Callithrix jacchus: one gene and its partner. The protein of the gene in region 1 purifies or fractionates together with the protein of each later gene. This does not show direct contact. Links are inferred from orthologs where the notes say so. Each region holds a gene or a part of one and is shown in the gene's direction. Other genes may lie near its edges.

The links. Proteins that work in one complex are often made in the same cells at the same time.
Region 2: the proteins of EHMT2 (region 1) and MIER1 purify together in Homo sapiens (co-immunoprecipitation; 3 studies listed by BioGRID and IntAct, with this or other methods). This does not show direct contact. The link is inferred for Callithrix jacchus from reciprocal best matches to the Homo sapiens genes EHMT2 and MIER1.

Annotation. Positions count from the first base shown.
Region 1 is NC_133505.1:39,395,655-39,399,308, reverse strand, and holds part of EHMT2 (histone-lysine N-methyltransferase EHMT2), read left to right. Parts: intron 1-736; coding exon 737-874; intron 875-996; coding exon 997-1,111; intron 1,112-1,269; coding exon 1,270-1,371; intron 1,372-1,592; coding exon 1,593-1,741; intron 1,742-1,833; coding exon 1,834-1,977; intron 1,978-2,065; coding exon 2,066-2,301; intron 2,302-2,379; coding exon 2,380-2,562; intron 2,563-2,680; coding exon 2,681-2,763; intron 2,764-3,233; coding exon 3,234-3,340; intron 3,341-3,434; coding exon 3,435-3,557; intron 3,558-3,648; coding exon 3,649-3,654. UniProt on the Homo sapiens protein: Histone methyltransferase that specifically mono- and dimethylates 'Lys-9' of histone H3 (H3K9me1 and H3K9me2, respectively) in euchromatin.
Region 2 is NC_133508.1:104,195,955-104,198,692, forward strand, and holds the end of MIER1 (mesoderm induction early response protein 1), read left to right. Parts: intron 1-1,615; coding exon 1,616-1,944; 3' UTR 1,945-2,187; downstream 2,188-2,738. UniProt on the Homo sapiens protein: Transcriptional repressor regulating the expression of a number of genes including SP1 target genes. Probably functions through recruitment of HDAC1 a histone deacetylase involved in chromatin silencing.

The DNA of each region.
Region 1 (3,654 bases):
TGTGTATGTATATATATATATATATATATATATATGTGTGTGTATATATATATATATATATATATATATATATATATATGTCTTGCCATTTATCCGTTGAAGAAACCAGGTCAGTTGTCCTACAGAATTTCTCATATTTAGGAGTTAGCTGATTGGGTGGAGATTGACACATTCTCTCTGCCGATATTTCTTGTAAACCAATAGATTTAGAAGCATAATCACTTCAGGTGCCAAGAAGACTTGACAGTGGATGTGAGCGCTTCTGGCGGCATCACATAAGGATGCATGGAGCATCTGGTCATTTTTCTTGTTAGCAATAAGATTGACCAGTGGGTTCAGGTGCCATCAGTCTGAACCTTTTATATAAAGTTTCTCATGAACTTTGTGTATAGCGGTTTTAGCAACCATTGGTGGTCTTACCTGTTTATGACCATCATAAAAGGGGTATTAAACCTCATGTTTATCTTCTGGTCCTTGCTTTTTATTTTTTAACTTAATGTTTATTACCAAGATCTGTGCACATAGCTGTCTGTAACTGTGGCACCTTTTTTCACTGCTGTATAACATTCCACACGTCGTCTCTTTACGTAGCCCTTTGTCTCCTCTCCTCCCCACACTCCTCTTCTCCAGGAACCATCATGGGTAGTGGGAGGTGGCAATGGTGGTGGTGGTTTTCATTATCCACCTCATTGTCTGAGTCCTGGGGGTTGGATATGTCCTGTTCCGCCTCTCCCAGTCGGAAGTTGAAGCTCTAACTGAACAACTAAGTGAAGAGGAGGAGGAGGAAGAGGAGGAAGAAGAAGAAGAGGAGGAAGAAGAGGAGGAAGAGGAAGAAGAGGAGGAAGATGAGGAGTCAGGGAATCAGTCAGATAGGGTAAGAGATGGAGGCTGACATCACCAGAGGAGTGGGAGACTGTGGGGCCGGATGTCTGGTCCTGAAGGTGTTGTGGGGAGCCCTGAGGGCGAGGGTTCCTAACTACTCCTCCCCCTTCCCAGAGTGGTTCCAGTGGCCGGCGCAAGGCCAAGAAGAAATGGCGAAAAGATAGCCCATGGGTGAAGCCATCTCGGAAACGGCGCAAGCGGGAGCCTCCAAGGGCCAAGGAGCCACGAGGTGAGGAGGCTCTGCTGCTTTTGGGTGCCCTCCTCCAGCCCCACCCAGTCCCCAGAGTGCGTGCACGCACACACACGCTCTCGCATGTCCACCTGCATGTACCCACACATCCAGATACCTGTGAGCTCGCACTCTCACTCTCTCTGTCTCTGTGTCAGGAGTGAATGGTGTGGGCTCCTCAGGCCCCAGTGAGTACATGGAGGTCCCTCTGGGGTCCCTGGAGCTGCCCAGCGAGGGGACCCTCTCCCCCAACCACGCTGGTAATTGCCAATTGCTGGGACAGGGAGCCACTAGGTGGTGACCTCAGGGCAGGAGGGAAAGGGGAGGAGGGAAACCACACCAGAGCCGGGGTGTCCATGGCCAGGCTTTGGGGGTTCTGGGGCATGGGGGGGTGAGGTAGGGTGGGAATGAGAGGACCCGCCAGGGGTCCCAGTGGGTGAGGTCCAGGGCCTCCCTCAGCTCCTCTTTTCCTCTGTCCAAGGGGTGTCCAATGACACATCTTCACTAGAGACAGAGCGCGGGTTTGAGGAGTTGCCCCTGTGCAGCTGCCGCATGGAGGCACCCAAGATTGACCGCATCAGCGAGAGGGCAGGGCATAAGTGTATGGCCACGGAGAGTGTGGACGGAGAGGTGGGGCCGTGTGCTGGTGGGAGAGGTGCCAGGGCGTCCAGTCCTGGGCCCTATCCTCACCCTCTCTTTTCACTCATCCTCACTGTACACAGCTGTCGGGCTGCAACGCTGCCATCCTCAAGCGGGAGACCATGAGGCCATCCAGCCGCGTGGCCCTGATGGTGCTCTGTGAGACCCACCGTGCCCGCATGGTCAAACACCACTGCTGCCCGGGCTGTGGCTACTTCTGCACGGCGGTGAGCGACTGACCACTGGGATAATCTGGTAGCATGCCCCATAACAGGGGGGCCCCAGGAACCTGACCACATCGTTTCCCTGCTCCAGGGCACCTTCCTAGAGTGCCACCCCGACTTCCGCGTGGCCCACCGCTTCCACAAGGCCTGTGTGTCCCAGCTGAATGGGATGGTCTTCTGTCCCCACTGTGGGGAGGATGCTTCTGAGGCTCAGGAGGTGACCATCCCCCGGGGTGACGGGGTGACCCCTCCAGCCGGCACTGCAGCTCCTGCACCCCCACCCCTGTCCCAGGATGCCCCCGGGAGAGCGGACACTTCCCAGCCCAGGTACTGGCCTTCTGCTTCTCTACTGTCTGTTCCTGCCCCACCCCTATTGCTCCTGGACATGAGCTCCTTCTTCCACAGTGCCCGGATGCGAGGCCATGGGGAGCCCCGGCGCCCACCCTGTGATCCCCTGGCCGACACCATCGACAGCTCAGGACCCTCCCTGACCCTGCCCAATGGGGGCTGCCTTTCCGCAGTGGGGCTGCCACTGGGGCCAGGCCGGGAAGCCCTGGAAAAGGCCCTGGTCATCCAGGAGTCAGAGAGGTGAGTGGGGAGTTGGTCAGCCACAGCAGCTGGGGCTGGGTCCAGAGCAAATGTGTTGAGGCTGATGCTGGAATCTGAGGAGCCCCCGTTTTCTCCCCACTCCCATGTCCCTTGGCAGGCGGAAGAAGCTCCGTTTCCACCCTCGGCAGTTGTACCTGTCCGTAAAGCAGGGCGAGCTGCAGAAGGTGATCCTGATGCTATGTGAGTGCCGCCCATTCCTTCAGCAGACCTTGACCAAGCTCCATGTGTATACCAGGCACTGGGCTCACGGCCAGGAGGAGAGTCATGCAGGACACAGTCCTTGCCCTGAAGGACTTAGTGTGGTGGGGAAAAAACACATATAACCCACGACGATGGGGACAGTGGTGACTCATAGGTGCCAGATCCTGTTCTGAGTGCTTACACTTGTTAGCCTTGGCACAGAGAGGTTAGGGACCTTGCACAGTGCCCAGTGGTACTGAGAGACAAGGCAGGGTTTGCATTCACGCAGAGCTGATGCCTTTAACTCCTTATTCTGATAAATGCCATGGTGGAGGCAAGCTCAGAGAATGCCAGGAGGGGCCCTGACCCAGCTTGGGGCCTGAGAAGCCTTCCTGAAGAAATGCCCCCTGCCCCCTAGCTTGCTTACCACTTGTCCCTCCCTCTCCCGGTGTGGCGGGCTCTCCCCGCAGTGGACAACCTGGACCCCAACTTCCAGAGCGACCAGCAGAGCAAGCGTACACCCCTGCATGCAGCCGCCCAGAAGGGCTCCGTGGAGATCTGCCATGTGCTGCTGCAGGTCAGCACGGGCCCATGCCTCATTGACTAGGCCCTTAGACCCCTCCCCTGCCCCATCCCTCCCTGGTGCCAGCCCTCCTGCCCCCTCCTCACAGGCTGGAGCCAACATAAATGCAGTGGACAAACAGCAGCGGACGCCACTGATGGAGGCCGTGGTGAACAATCACCTGGAGGTGGCCCGTTACATGGTGCAGCGTGGCGGCTGCGTCTATAGCAAGGTGCACGCGCGGGCAGCAGGGCATGGCCCCCAGAGTCAGGGACGAGGTTTTGGGTGCCAGCCGGAGGCTCATTTGCCCATGTCTCCCCCAGGAGGAG
Region 2 (2,738 bases), on another chromosome or scaffold:
TCTAATGTTTGCCACATTCATTCTAAAGTAGATTAAGAGGCTGAGACTCCTTGGCTCAGGGAGGCAGACAGTTGGGACTACTACTGCTTTTCCTGTTTGTTCTTAACATATTAACACTAAATAAATCATTTTCTTTTCCTTTTTAAAAAACTTTGATGAGAACATGCTTCTTTAGGATAGTGTTCCTAAGTTACTATCCTAAATTACTATAAATTACTCGTAGCTCAAAAGCCACTCACATTATGTACAGTCAAGACTGCCAGCTTTTTCAAAGAAAGGAAGGAACTTTCCATCCCAATATTATAGTACTTTTTTATATGGGATTTTAATTAGTACTTTGAAATCTTACAATTATTTGTGACCTAATCACAGTCTCAGCTAGCTTTTTGGACTTGATCCTACAGAATTGTTCTCTTCAATATCTTATGATGCATAATCCCCATGTGCATTCATGATTTGAGTGCATTTTTGAGTTGATCAAAATATTTTGTTTGATCAAAATACAATATTTGAGGCTCATCCTTTATGTTGAATATTTTTCAGGCAATTAAATTGTAATTATTCAGTGATGATGCATCCTATATTTTACTTCGTATCACTAAAATTTCCATTCATTTTACAGTCAACTCTAAAGTGAACTTTTCTGTTTTATTACAATAATTTTGCTTTTACTTTTCTCCTCTATTGTAGAAGAATTTGTTTTACTTTTAGCACTTTCAAGTATATGCTTGGATAGGGCAACATTAGCTTTTTAACATTATGACAGATATATTTAAGTCTACTTAGGTAAATAGTGTGTGATCTTTTTTTTTTTGAAATGGAGTCTTGCTCTGTTGCCCAGGCTGGAGTGCAGTGTTACCATTTTGGCTTACTGCAACCTCCGTCTCCCAGGTTCAAGCAATTCTTCTGCCTCAGCCTCCTGAGTAGCTGGGACTACAGGCCTGTTCCACCACGCCCGGCTAATTTTTGTATTTTTAGTAGAGGTGAGGTTTCACCATATTGGCCAGGCTGATCTTGAACTCCTGACCTCGTGAGCCACCATGCCTGGTTGTATGTGATGTTTTAAAAGCACAGTTCCCAGAGATTTACATTAAGAATAAAGTCATCATATCTTGCCTTTATATGGTAGCTTACTCAAGCTTTTATAAGAAAGGATATTCATTTTGCTTTTTACATAGTTTCAGAATGTTGAAAACCTTTTGTTAAATCTGAGTAATTTATTGCATTTTTCATTGTTAATTCAGCTTATTTAGATTTCTGGATCCAGTGCTTATTTGCTGTCACATATACCTAAAATGCTTTTAATATATGCCAAATTCTCTTCTTAGTTCTTTACATTTATGAACTTATTTAATTTTCACAACAACCCTGTGTGGAATTTCTATTATGATCTTCATTGTATATATGTAATGAAATGGAGGTAGAGAAAGAGTAAATAATTTGCCTAAGGTCACATAACTAATAAGTAATAGAGCAAGAATTCAGACTGTATATATATATTTGATACCTTGCTTACTTGATAACAATAGCAATTTTACAGTAAGCTGTTTTACAGTAGTTTGCAAATTTAGCTTTTTTGTAATTGTGGTTTCATTTTATGTTTCTTTCAACTTAGGAGTGTCATCTAATGGACCAGGTGAAATATTAAACAAAGAAGAAGTAAAAGTTGAAGGGTTACACATTAATGGACCAACAGGTGGAAATAAGAAACCACTTCATGGAGATATGGATACTAATGGTTATGAAACAGATAACCTTACCACTGACCCAAAACTTGCCCATATGACTGCAAGAAATGAAAACGATTTTGATGAAAAAAGTGAGAGACCTGCCAAAAGGCGAAGGGTAAACAGCAGTGGAAAAGAAAGTCCAGGTTCTTCTGAATTTTTCCAAGAAGCAGTCTCACATGGGAAATTTGAAGAACTTGAAAACACAGATGACTAAATTTTAGACCTATTTTACTTTCTTTGGAGTAAATTCTGGTGTGACTAAAATTTTCAGGGTTGATGGGTTACCTTAAAAAGTTGAATTTCTTGAAGCAGTTTGTTAAAATTTGGAAATTTGAATTGAGTCTTAACTTTAGGAAATGAGGTTTCATAATTCTGCCTTTTGCAGATTTTTTTTACTTTAAAGCTGTCAGACTCTTTTAAGGATATTTTAAAAATTAGTAAATTTGAGTGAACTAAAGATATATCTGCACCTTCTCATTTGATGTATTAATCATAAAATTTCACTACGAGGTAATTTTTGCTTAGTTTGATGGAGGAATGGGAAAAAACTCAAGTCCAAATTTCTGCTTAACACCAGTTTCTCTGAGTTTCTTGAAATGTCTTGTCTTTATAACAGACATTTTTCTTGCCATACAGTTTGAGTATCATTATTAAGGAAACCCTTATGAATCCTGAAAATTATGCTAGCATGATTTTTTTATATATAGAAGTTTAAAAATAAACCAGGTCAGGTTTGTATATGTAAAATTGTTGACATCAATGATGTCTTTCCATATTCTTATCTGGGCTTAAGAAATACATTCTGTATTTTTCCAGATTCTTTGTAGCCTTTGAAAGATTTTTACAGTACATATGTCTTGACTGAGCTGTCCTTTCTTAATACAAAAGCTTGTATAATTTTCTTAACTTGTACAGTTGGTAAACTTTTATGAGAGGAATTGTTATTCTGAGTCTGTCAGCTTTCATTTTATTTTGCTAAGGTTTTTCTAATGATTTTTTAAGTGTTTG